2 linked regions of the Drosophila melanogaster genome follow. The protein of the gene in region 1 interacts with the protein of each later gene in a biochemical or structural test. Each region holds a gene or a part of one and is shown on either strand. Other genes may lie near its edges.

Evidence for each region. Proteins that work in one complex are often made in the same cells at the same time.
Region 2: the proteins of dpr10 (region 1) and DIP-beta form a complex in vitro, tested with the Drosophila melanogaster proteins (one study listed by BioGRID).

What each region holds. Positions count from the first base shown.
Region 1 is NT_037436.4:10,182,498-10,189,524, forward strand, and holds the start of dpr10 (defective proboscis extension response 10), read right to left. Parts: upstream 3,612-7,027; 5' UTR 3,428-3,611; intron 34-3,427; exon of another isoform or gene 19-33; 5' UTR 1-18.
Region 2 is NC_004354.4:21,453,912-21,461,000, forward strand, and holds the start of DIP-beta (Dpr-interacting protein beta), read right to left. Parts: upstream 3,828-7,089; 5' UTR 3,640-3,827; exon of another isoform or gene 3,555-3,639; intron 1-3,554.

The DNA of each region.
Region 1 (7,027 bases):
CCTTTCTATTAGCTTCATCTACAGAGAGAAAAACTATAAGTCGCTTTAAAACATGCTTGCGTTATTAGCTTTTATTACAATTATTACAAAAAAGGTTGAAGATTGCTATTCCTACAAAAATTATCTTCAATTTTTGTAAAATTAAAAAACGTTATAAAAGATAGTTCTACACAGCGCAATAAATATAAATTAAGACTGTAGCTTTGTATGCAAATTTTTCTCTCTGCAATTGCGCCTGTTTTCAATTTTCTCTTTTCGTTTCGCGTGAATTAAACACTTGCAATGACATTTAAAACACTTAATATCAATGGCAGACAATTTAATCCTTTAACGTTCGTTTGTTGAACTTTTTCAGAATCGTCCTTGTTGTTTTTCGTCCTTGTTGCTGCTGCCGCTGTTGTTGCTGCTGCTTGTTGCAATTGCAGTTGCACTTGTGTTTGCTCTTTTGGCTCGTCCTAGGCCGAAATAATATTTTTTGTTGCCCGACTCGTTTCGCATTTCCATGGACAACTTTTTATTTTCATTCCGCCTGGAACGTACCCAAAAAGAATTGATTTTCGTCTGGGGCTAAAGAGCTTTAAAAGGAATTTCATTTGTCCGGGTCTCGTTGTTTTTTTTTTTTCGTCGCATCACCCTTGATGTCGTGGAACATGAATTGATTAAATTTGTGTTGATTTTAGGGCTGATAATGGATAATAACAGACTTTAATGGATAATAAACTATGGTAAAAACAAGGATTTTCTCGAAGAGATTCTAGAAATTCTGCTAACCAATAAAACAGCTCTTTCTCTAAGCAATCCACTATTGATTTCAATAGGTGAGTGGCCTAAAATGGAATCCTTTTCCCTCTCCATGAGCGCACAAAAGTTTACACCACAAATTAGAAGAACATTACACGCCCAATCCAGTTTCCCTTGAAGGACATGCTCACATCATACAATTAATAATGGTTAATGCATAAACCAGAATCAATTTTTGACAGAAGTTGGATTGAAGTGTCTCTGGTCAGCTGCCCTTGCATATTTCATTTCCTAAAACTTCGGTGGCATGTGTCCGGATCCGAAAATAATTCAACGCCCCCACGACCCCAAAATTATGAGTCGTTTTTGGAGAACTGTTCAAAGCAGTAACGCCCCATTTTCCGGCTGAGGCTATTTTCAGACCTGCTGCCATCCATCCATTCACTTTGGCATCAATCAATTGCCCTGCCCAGGGGAAAAACTTTTATGCTACTCGGGCACTTCTCCTCACATCTAATTTGTTAAACATTTGCTGGGGAATTGCCTTTTTCACACGCCCCTTGAAACACGGTGTGTGTTTTCCTTTCGAATTTTTCCCTCTTGCACTGTGTGAAATTAATTAAAACTTAATTAATTGCAAACTCCGCTGCACCAAAGAGACGACAGACAGACTAATGAGTAGGGGGATGGGATTAAGGTCTGAGTTCAACTGCAGGACTCATTCGACATGCTGAGAAAAAATTAATCAGCCGGTACAGTGAAACAATGGAAAGATTTTCGCATGAAACAATGGAAACTAATTATGTATAATGGAAACAATTGAATAAGATTTTGTATAACAATTATTTAGATTTATTGATTAAAAATAAACAAATATTATAAAAGGACTTCAAAAAAGAACTTCAAACAATAAAAAATTTATGAATCATCAATGCACAAACTCTTGCCATCATAAATCATTGATATAAAATATACATTTTAATGCAATATTGCTAAGCAGCTTATACGATATCTCATGTATATATTTTAAAAAATATATAGTTTTAAAGCAAATCCTTAAAAAGGATCTGATCCCTGATCTCTAATTTTTTTGCCTGCAGAAACCTCTGTGTGCGACTTCAATCAGAAGTGGCTGCTGCTGACATGCTGCTCCTGTTGGGAATCCTGGCTGGAATCCTTGGCCACTTGTCACTGTTGCCTCCGTAATGGAATTAGGGAGGGGCCAGGGGTTCCAGAATGTGCGAACCAGGAGGGCCAGGTTCTCGAGGGAAGGATTCGGGATTCAGGGACGGAGTCTGAGACTCCTGCCAACGTCAGCAATGTCTCTCAAAAGTGTTAACGCACTCAATTGCTACTATTCCCATCTCCTTCGTTGCCACTATCCCCCCTCTCTTTCTGAGAGTCCTCTTGCCACTCTTTCTAATTGTAAGCGTCTGCATTTTGCCTCTCAGCTTGGGGGCAGTGTCTGCTCTAATGTTTAGTAACTGTGATTAGGAGGCAACTCTAGTTCCGGGTGGGCTTAATTTGCCCTACCCACACCCACCCAATGCCCGTGGGCAATCTTTGCTTTTGTTTCTGCCCCATTGTGTGCCGGTTAATTCCTGCTGTATGAATATTTTATTGAGAAAGGGTTTCACATTTTATTGGCTACATGGCATTATGTGCGAGAACAAAGAAAGGAAACAATTTAATTGTGTTTGGGGATGTCAGGCAAGGATTGCACATAAGCTCGTGGCCTCAAAAGTTGATACCACAACACAATGGTGCTGGGGCGGGCAAAAGTAAAATCGTTGAAAAGCCAAAGTGCTTGGCACTCGACAAAACTTTTCCATCAACAACTGCAGTTGAGACAAGCGAAAGTTTTTTCCCAAGGAAACTTAATTTTCCCCAACAGCCACAACATCTTATCATACCCATACGAGAGATATATTTCGGTTCTTGCGGCGACGCACATTGCGCATACGCACTGTGATCAGTCTGTCGTAAATTTCAATGCACACTTGTTTTCCGTTAATATTTTATGGGTTTTCTATTAATTTTTGTCACATTCTTTTAGTGTCTCCCCTCGGCCGGAATATTAGATTACACAGAAATGAATGTATTAACGCTCGATATTTGTGGCAGCGCTTTTTTTGTTTTGACGCAGATCAAAGATGGTTTGGTTCTGTTTTTTGTTTGGCATTTGTGTGTTGTTTTAATTTGTTAATTTGTATTTGGGGTCTGGGCTCCCCTTTGGCGGTCTAAATATAAAACAACTTAATTTGCTGCATGCTAATGAGATGGCCAAGGGGCGGGGCTGGAGGACGTTGTGTGGGCGTTTAACACTTTTATAATTTGTTTGTCCGCAGACAGAATTCTTTTCCTGCATTTTTTCTGGCCCCACATTTGGCAAGCAGCTGACACGCACCGAATTTCGTTAGATTTCTGATTACTTTTCTTTTTTAGGTGTATAATTTTTGGAGACGATGTCGTAAAATATTCGCGTGCCGAAAGCGTTTTAGCTTAACAATAAGAGCAATAGCAGCAACAGCAGTAACAGTAACTGGAATAACAAAAAAAAAGCGACAAAAGGTCATTCAATTTTCGACTGCCGGCAATGGGGCAATGAGGCTTTTCCTGCGTTTTCACACGTTTTCCAAAATTTACGACCCAATTGTGCCCGCTTTTCTTATCCGTTTGCACTCACACTCTCTAGCCTCGAGTCACAGAAACACACGCACATGCACACACACACACATACACTATAGTCCGGAAAATGTCGCGCCTCACGTATTTGGGCCTCACATTTCCCTCAACTTTTTATTCGGATTTTCACGCGCTTTTCCGCGCCTTCGCCTTTCGTTCACCGTCGATGTCGCGCTGAAACTGAAACAGAAACTGAAACTGATTTCTGGCAGCAGTGGAGCATTTGTTGGGGCCTCCGGGGGGGATTCCCGAACTCATACGAGCCTTTATCAGCGACGCTTCGGGTTTGTTGTCTTCGGCTCGGGAAAAGTCGTTGGAAAAGAGGGACGGAAAAATCGTGTGCCGAGCATTTCAGCTGAATTCGCCGCATTTATCTCTCTTAATTTCCTCTTCTCTTTTAATCACAACACTATGTTCACTTTCAAGGTCTTACAATAAAAGGTTTCAAATAGTTTTGGAAATCCGCGATTATTTTTTTAGTGGCAGCAGGGTGTTTTTTGAGGTCGAATTATGTTCGCAAAGCAAATAAAAGCGGACTTTACGATCCTGTTTTTAAGGGGTTAAGTTAATTTTAATGCAGTGAAGTTAAGTGACACGTAGGGATTCCAGTTCTTAAAAGCAGAGTAATATTTCAGTTTATGTTTCAGCTAGAGTGCTTTATTATAGGTCTCTTAAAAAAAAATAATCTAAGCCATTTTAGTTGAAACTTGAAATAAAAAGAATTAATCCGGTTGAGGGAGTGAAGGATCATAAAAAGAACATAATCACTATAGCAAAACCCAAAAACAACATAATGTCTTATTGATCCCATTTATTTTTTACTTGCTTATATGCTTACTTAACTGAATTTAGGAAACTATGTTATTTCATATACTTCCATAAGATCCTAAGTTCAATTTTAATAAATGAGAAAAGTTATAATATTTTTCCCAAGAACATATTCATTTATTTTAGATAATTTAATATTAAATTATCATTATTATATACGCTTTGTGCATGCTACGTTCTCATTTATTTATATTTAGGTACTTCGTCTCTATAAGGGAAGCAAACCGTCTGCCTTGGACAATATCTTGAGCAAGACTGACAGACTTAGGTCAGTATCAAAGAGAAATTGTATGGAATTTGGCAAAGAGTGCGCATGCACTGAACAATTCTTTGGTGCTCTTAGACTAGCTCTTCCACGATTTAACAGCGAATTGGATAATATGGCCAGAAGGCAGGGATTTCAATAATATACACTGAAGCTGGCACAAAAAGAGCTAATGACAATATAAATTCGCGCGGCGTATGGATATGCGTGGCAGATGGGAAACTGTGTAGCCGGCTAAGGGATTTCCCGCTCTTTGAAGGGAATGCGGTATCGGGATGATGAAAATCCGGGAAAAGTGGCGGGGTGCAAGCCAGCTGACAGCAGTTATCGCTGGAGCGAAAGGCAGTAATTAGCGTAAATTGAGTTGGTAAAAAGCGCAAGTGTTCAAAATCCACCCACTCAGTTGTGTGACACCCGCACCACCACCCCACATGCCTAGAACCAGCCAAAAACCTCGCCTGCGGCCTTGGGCTTTAGTTGTCCCTTGTTTTTGCGGCTGCTTGTGCTGCTGTGCTGTTGTTGATTATGTGGCAATTAGTTGTCGCTTTTGTGGCAAGCCACGCGGCACTTTCAATCAGAGCATCTTATTCCGACAGCCACATAATGCCCATCCAGGTGGGGCTTAGTGAGCTAATTAAACAAGCCGATTATGGCCCGACATTCCGCTGACCTTGGCCACCTCATGCTGCCATTCAGCATCCACCACCCGCTGTGAGTCCATCTCGGTAAAGTTTACCACAACTCCTAACCAACTCGAGCGCAGAACATTTCTCCAGTTATCAACTTTCTGCACATATTGTCAGAGGTGTTTAAAAGTCTGGGTCACTGTGGGGTTAAGTGGGCGTCGGGGATTCCGGGGGGCGTGGCAGCAGTCTGATGAGCGGCATTCGCTACTTGCTCGGTATTAGAAACTTTGCGAAAAGGCAAAAAACCAAAAGTTTCCAATTTGGTAGCACAGAAAATATTGTTGCAGGAATTTGCTTAACTCCAACTCGACGAATAAAAAATGCACTTCAGAAATTAGGATAAAAATGTAAAACGAAAAAGTGGAAGATATTTCCTAGTATTTCTAGCTTCAGTTCTTGGCTCTTAAAAGCACTTAAAAATAGTTCTAAAATGATTAATGAAGTTCGGTGAAAGCAAATCTTTATTTTACAACTGATTGGCAAAGTAGTTTCAATTTACTTTAATTTCCGCCCAGATCTCCACACATTTGGCAACCTACAAAACATTTACCCTAGCTCAACAACTTGGGGCAAATTCAGTTCATTTGCCAAGCAAAAATTTTATGATTTATGAAAATGTTCTACGTATATTTCTGTTCTCCTCCACTTTCAAATGGCAGGGGCGTGCTGCCGCCCACATTGTAATACAATCAGAATCTGGCTTGGAATTAAATCTGCTAACCGAGTTATTGCGCTCGAAGAGGTAGGGTGATGGCGGGGAATAGAGGTTCTGTTCTGGGGCATTGTTGCATATTCAACAATTGCCACTGCAAACCGACGAAGTAATAACAAATGCAAATTTTAAGCTCAAGAATTTTCGTTTTGCAAAAATTGTGTACATATTTTTTTTTTTGCTCATATTTTACTTATTTGTGCTTTTTGCCATGGGCAACAGCAGGCAAAAGTGTAAATGAGTTTTGCTCGGCCCTCTCTTCCCCCGACAATTGAATTTGTTTAAATTGTTGCCTGCTAAATTTCTGAGGGAGCAGCGGAATCGCATCCATGCATCAGCAATCAGGAATGGGGAGATCCACTAAAACTTCAAATAGGACACATTGTCCTCCTCGCTGAGAGCCAATATAATCAAGCGGCAGCAGCTGGCAAAAAATGATGTGGCATTGTGGGGGTATGTGTGGGATGCACTGCAAAAAAAGGCGAGTAACAGCACTTGCTAATAACTATTTGTTAAATATATTGGAGTTAATAGATTTAAAGATAAGCTTAGGACTTTGAATGGAATTTCGGTGGAATTGGGATCAATTATTTATATTATATATTTAAGTATTTATTTTATCTGTATGGGTGGGGACTGGTGCTGTTGGTGGGCAGCAGGCTGCAGGACTTGGGCACTGATGAGTTCACTTCAGTGAGCAAATGAAACGATATTGTTGTCAATTTAGGTGCAACAAAGAGCAGCAATGCGTCCCGTCTCTTTCCATCCGCCGGCAGACAAGGACAAGACAAAGCAAACAGCATGCATGATGAGCGAGCGAGAGCGAGAGGGAGTCATGCGGGCCAGCGGTTGTCGGAGGGGGAGAGCGATAGCTGGCGTAACAACAAAGGCAAACAACAACAAATTGCATGTCCTTCCGCCTAAGGTTGCAGCACAATATACAACGCACTCATATTTACTTTGTTCGGAGGATCCTGTTCCTGGTCTGCTCTGTCTACGTCCCATTCCCACATGTCTCCCCTCTCGATTGCACCTGCACCTCGACGAACTCCTCGCCCAGGTGCAACATTAATGAAAACTGCAAGCGACCTGACACAGATACGTGTGTGT
Region 2 (7,089 bases), on another chromosome or scaffold:
AATCAAGCTGCTTTAAGAACTTTTTTCCTTCACTCCACCAAACATACATATATCTTCAGTGGGGTCTCGATCAATCTTGGGGTTAAATATGTATCGCAGCCTGATTTATTCGCTGACATTTTGCATTATATGCAGGAGCCATTCTCTGCTGCGTTTGCCTTCGCCGGAAAACAAAAACAAAAACAGAAAAAAAAAAATGAAACAAGCGAATGGGGTTATTTCCAACAGGATTCGGGGCGAATTGGGCAGCGGAACCGGGTCTGGACCAGAAAATAATGCTTGCGAAATTTCGTTTAATTTTCGGTTCGCGGTGGCCATTGTCGTCCTTTGTTCGACAATGTCTTTTGTTGCCGATTTTCCCCATAATAATTATTGTTCGAAATTTCATTTTGAATCAAAAAGAGGGGGTTCTGAAACCAAAATTTTGGGAAATATGATTCCATAATTTAATGTAGATTTGATTTGAACGCCTGCCAACTAATTGCAGGTAACATGAACAGTCACTTTTCCCAAAATTCATGTTCCCTTCTGTTGCACTTTGATGCCCGCATCATCAGTCAGCACTCGGATGGCTCGGACATATCCTATTTCCAAATAGCGCCGATTAAATGCCCTAGGCAGCCCGTCGTCAGTCAGTTTGCTCCTTTCGACATGGAAATCGGAGCTTCGCAATTCCGGACACAATGCAGAGTGCATCCGACTTGGAGTGTCGCAGTAAATTTTACTCGAATTTATTGTTATCACTGGGCTTCGATTGTTTGGTTACATAACCTACCTACTTATCTATTCATATGTACATAACTTGTTTCGCTTAGACCCAATAAGCCGACATTTAAATATCCTTTTAAAGTCTCAAAAGGTTCGTCAGAATCGGAGACAAAGTAGCTTGAAAAGTAAATGTATTATGAGGGCAAACTACAGTTTCAATTAGAACTCATTTTTAATTATACCCCTAAGGGCTAGGTAAATGGAGGATGTGGCATACATTATTTTGACGGTAACATTGTAATGAGTGGATGCAAACAATTTTTGGCATGTGAATGGATAGTGATAATGAAATATTCCCCTCCACCTTCAACAAGATTTAAAGCCTGAATCTGAAAAGCAGACAGGTTCTAGGCTTATGGGCGCCAAGCAAAAATGTCTTTGGCGTTCTGTAGGGGCTTGCAAGATAATTAGAAAAATAATATTTTAAAACCTTTTTTAAATTTATAATTAAGTACTCAGGTTCTTTTAAGTGACTACGTTTACTCTAAGTAACTGAGTTTATATGTGGAAGTGTTTCAAATTCATTTCTGATAATTAAATTTGGAGATCATCATATATTTCGGTTCCAATGTGAGCCAGTTCAGGGTCAGTTCAGACCAATACAAATAGTTCCATAGGCGCAGAACTCGCACACAATTCCTCTGTGCTCAGTACAAAGATCGAGAAATATTTCCAATCTCCCAGACGCAGCACAAAACCAAAGATCCCTTTTCTATTATGAATTCGGATGGATTCCATTCGGATTTTATAAGATATTAGTTGATTAACCACTAGACACGGCGGACAAGGAGTCGCGAAGCTTCTTGCCTTGGTTCCGGTTAACCAGATGGAATCGAGATGAGTCTCAGTCAAATTTCAAATTAATGCTAACTGAAGTGCATGACTTTTTTTGTGTTGACCGAGATGCCAAAATTTGGCAATGGCTTTGGGAAGTTTCGGGGAATTTCTCGACAGGCAAACAAAAAAAATTAGGTATTTCGGAAGTATGCATTGTATACATTTTGCAAAAAGGGTTCCCAAATATAATGACAAAATGTTGCACATAAATTTTGATTATTCGAGACCAATAATAAAATTAATTACGTTCCCAAAGTAAAGTTTCCCAAAAAAAAACCATTAATAAAGATTTTGGAAAATTGCGTTTACAATTTTCTCTGTGCACTTTGAAGCTTGAGATTTCCTGTGCCCAAAAAGGTCCAAATTTACATTTGCCGCATAAAGCCCTTTCATTTGCCTCTTTGCTCTTTTTGTGTGCCACTGCATACATTTTACACACTTCATTATTTAATATAAAATGCATCCTCACACGCACACCTGCGCACAAGGGAAGACAATTGCTGGGCAAGGCGATGCGAATGAGTAAAAACGTTATTTAATTAATTAATTTTCATTAAAAACACGACAAAATGCGACGGCTGGTGGGTGGGGAGCGGATGGTTGCGAACAGGGTCGCAGAGGGGCGCAGAGGGGCGTGGCTGGACGGCGCAGGACATTAAAGGACGAGCAGATGCCTGCTCCTTCCTTGTCCTGTCACGCTGGCTGTCATTTACAATTTTAATCTCGCTGTGCAGCAGTTTAGCTTAAGTTCGGACGTCGGGATAATGAGCGGCCAGGTCCGCGCTTAAGGATAATGGAGCCTGCAGCTGGACAGTACTCCCTGTCCCACTCCATCTGTAATTAAAAAATCGCGCATGCAGCCAGCACTCCCTTCACCTGGTCGAATAAGGGCCAACGACCAAGTTGGCTCACAAATTTCATGGCTAATAAATCACTTTTAATATTAATAAAACATAAATCATTGCCAACTAAAAACTTGGCCTGCTAGTTGGATGCTGCAGTCTCATTTTGGCGCCTTTTGTTCGATGGCAAAAAGTTTCGGAGGAGTCTTCCAGAAAAGGTACCTCAAGAATGTGCCAAACTGGTGGCGGATGGCGAGGGATGAGCGAGAGATTGAATGGGGTTTTAAAGTTCAGGTGGGTGAAAGTTCTTGAAGGAAATCAGAAACACAAAAAGGGTTCAAAGCAATACATGGATACCGGATTTAAAATAAAATTGAATTCGGATCGTCTTACAAACCACTAAAAAAGATATTGAAAACCTTACTTAATTTTTGCAATGTGTAATGTATGCTATCATATTATATAAAATATATAATTACAAACAATTAAAAACGAAAAGAACACAAGCTGACAGTTTTATAATTATGTTAAACAATTTATCAAATCGTTAGTATGCGACAAAATGTACGATATGATTTTGACCATAAAAGGTGACTACATTTTCCCCACACGAAGGTATAAAGATAGTTGTTTTTGGGAAAAAAAACTGGCAAAAGTTAATTTGCAACTTGGCAAATCAACTGTTTTATTTACTGAAAACAAGAAACGAGAATAAAGGATTCCAACGAGTGACGAGTGACTCACATAAATGCAAACAAAGAAAGTTAATGTTAGAAAACGGAAAGGACATAGAAATTCAATGAACTGAAAAGGAATTCACTCATGAACAGTCGAGAGAATTCGCAAGAAAACAACTCGATTGGTGTAACAATTGGTTGAAAGGCTGAGAAAAGAAAGGGAATGCTAACATACCACCGATAATGCAATTGACAAATGAGTGAACAAGCGTATGTGAAATGATTTAGGCAGCGATCGACGGGCAATGGAGTAAAGGACTAAACGAGGGATTGGCTTCACCTCACTAGTGTAGTAATTTCTAAATACGCAGTCACAGCTCACATCGTATGCTTCGCGAAAAACTTTTGAATTTTTGGGTCTTAGAATTACCTTGTTCGAAAAAACAAGCAAAGCTTCGAAACTAGTCCAAAGCACTGGCCAACACTAAAAAAAAACTTGAAAATAATCAACTAACACTTGTCAAAAACTCTTCTCTCGACTTTCAGCTAGAGTAATTGTATCATTGTATCGTTGTTGTTTCGCGCCACTCGAAACCCGTTTTCGAAACTTTGGAATTTTTAGTTTGAAACTGAGTCCTTTCGTGTCTCGAATCCACTGGACTGAACTGAACCGACGCGCTAGGAAGTTGCCCGAGCACTGAACCTGTCGCACCAAGCGCGTTTCGCATTGGGCCGACCCAGCGCAATGTGCTCGTCCTTCGGCAGCACGGCCATCCCGATTTCCCAATTTCCCGACTTCCGATGTCCTGGCACTGTGGAGTCCCGTGTCCCGTGCCTGCCATCCCGAGGCCAGCCGAAATGCTTCCGAAGGACGAGCTCGTGTGGCGGACGAAGGCGTCAGTGCTTGTCCTCTGGCAACATGTTGCCAGCAACATTTAGAAGCTGGTAAATTTACTAGAGCAATTGCCTTAACTTAAAACGCAGAGATCTGCATAAGTGGTTAGTTTTGCCCAGTTGATTATTATTGGTTGAAAAACATTCTAAAAGAAAAGAAAAACGAGTTAAAGTTATACAGAAACCAATTGCTGAAATATAAAAGGCTGTATGTTTTACCAAGAGCTAGTTTTTCGGTTGTTCGCTTTCATCATTTTTCAAATGGGATATAACATTGTTAGCTGTTTTGGAATACATATAGAATTTATATCAGCCGACTTTTGACGATATTTTAAGCCTTACCTTGTGCAAAAAATTAGGAAAAGTCAAAGAAAGACGAAAGCATATTGAAAATAAATCGAACGTTAGAAAATATATCTTTATTTTGCTTGATCACTTTTTAAAACATATTAATTAAATTTCCAAAAAAAGATTTTAATGAATGCGACTATCGGATATTTATTAATCACCTAAGGACTGTGCAAGGGAGATGGAAAGGTGGAAGCAAGCAGAAGTCTCAATAGACTTAACTTTTACTTAATTTACTTTACATAGGTTGCAATAGTTCGATTAAGGCAGTTTTTGTTGTTGAAAAAATAGGAACATTTTAGCTAGACATTAACGACAACTGTAACTATAACGTTTGAAGATAACTTGTAAGACTAGTCACTAGTTTTTATACACTTCCTTCTGCTTCTGTTACATACATACTTGTCAACGACTCCAGATTGCATTGTTTCTTAGCTAGGTTAGGTAACAAAACTTGTTTTGAGCACATCATCTTATTTTATTTATTTATTTAACAAAATTAAATATAGTATACAATACTAAACCTAATTAAATTTAATGAGTACTAGCTACGGGGGCCTTCGACTCGAGACTTATGGGTTAATTGCTTTATATAATAAACTTAGCTTTTTGGACAAATTTGTAAATTTTTGAGATATTTTCACAGGATGGGATACTTAAACAATTCGAGAGACTATGTGTACCAAATAAGTGAGATCTAATTGAGTGCAATTGACTGCAGGCGTTGAGAATATGGTCAACGGTGAGCTCGTCCCCGCATAGTTGGCATGTTGGTCGCGCCGATCTCGTCAGTAAGTGTTGATGTGTGGATTGGGTGTGCCCGATGCGTAGACGGATAAAGGTCGCGCATTCCCGTTTATGTACGTTCGTTGGTGGCTTGAACATGATGCAATTCGGATTGATAGACTGGTACCTGTGCATGAAGAGTGCCCATTCGGAGAGTTTCCTTTCTTTGAGGTATAACTTGATTCGACTTTTTAGGTCCTTGGAGTTAAACGGAGTGAACAGGATTGATGGTGTAAGCCTCATCTCTTGGGCGGCTTTGTCAGCAAGTTCATTCCCATGAATACCTTGATGACTGGGAACCCAGAGTAAGGTGATTTTTTTTGGGTGAGAACTTAGAATGTGCCTAACTTCTTGTGTTGTGGGGTCATTATGGTTCCAGTTGCGTATAGCGGAAAGAGAGGAGAGGCTGTCTGTGCAGATAACAGATTTTCCAGCGTTTTTGGAAGCGAATTGGCATGCTTTGAGAATGGCGAAAGCTTCGGCTGTAAATATGGAGTTGTAGGACGGAAGCCTACCTCCTGCAATTATTTTACGGTTAGAGTCAACGACCGCAAAAGTAGTTGCGCCGGTGACTTTAGAACCATCGGTGTAGATCCAGTTTTTCACACCAAGATCTTCTTGTGCGCTCATAAAACGTTTTTGGTATTCTAGGCGACCTGTATCCTTTTTGGCAGCATTGTATATTTGAAGGTTTATGTTAGGCTGTTTGGAACCCCAAAGTGCTGGCGATTTGAAGGGCCTCCTGGGCTTAGGCAGGGGAAGGTCAAGTAGCTTGATGTAGTTGGCGCAACGTCTTAGGGTGGATATGCACTTGAATTTCCGTTTTTGTTTAAATATGGCTCCGAAGTCTTTGGTTAGCAGGCAGTTTGACGTGGTGTACAGCTTCGGGATAAGCATCAATGTAGTTTCTTCTACGCGTGATTGGATACTCGGGAGACCCGATTCTGCCAATGTGCACGCTACTGGAGATGTGGGAAATGCGTGAATGGCGCGACGGACCGCTCCGTGATATGGGACTTGTAGCTTTTTTAAGTGTGATTTAGCACACCAACCGAAGATTGGCAGTCCGTAGTCAATTTTAGATAGCATTAAAGCGCGCGTAATATCTATGAGAGTCTTAATATGTATGTAAGAATATTTAGATGATAGAAATTTAATAATGTTAAATCTAGTTTCCAGTTGTTTTCTTAGAGTCTGACAGTGCTGTTTAAAAAGTAGTTTGGAGTCGAAGGTTATCCCCAAGATTTTTAAAAAATTTACATCTTTTATTGTGCGGCTGTTAAAGACAATGTCGGAAAGGTTGCAACGTTGTTTCCGACAGATATGTAAAGTTTGGCATTTTTCAATGGCAAGAGAGGCCCCAGAGGTTGCTCCCCACGAGTTAATTTCTTGCAATATTTCTAAGAATTTTTCTCTAACTGTGTTAATATTTTTTATTTTAGTAAAGATTATTGCGTCGTCTGCGTATAGTGAGATGTAAATATCTTTATGCCGAGTTACAATGTCATTTATGTCTTCAATAGCTATCATAAATAAAACCACCGAAAGTGGCGAACCCTGCGGGATTCCATTGTGTAAAATGTGGGAGTTCGATGTGACATTGTTTATTCGAACCCTGAAGGACCGATTGGTCATGAAGGCTTTAATAAGGTTATAAAGCCTAGGACCAATGCCCCAGCGCTCGAGTCTGCAAAGTACGGCGTGAATCCCCACGCGATCGAAGGCTCTTTCAAAATCCGTCGCCAAGATAGAGACGTGATTTTTGGTCGAAAGAGCGTTCGACGCGAAGTGTTGGATACGCAATAACGCGTCCATCGTGCTATGATTACTTTTAAAGGCAACTTGATTATGGGAAATTAGGTTGTGGCGTTTAATGAACCAGGTAAGTCTTTGTGCTATTATTTTTTCTAGTGTTTTTCCCAGACAGGATAACAGAG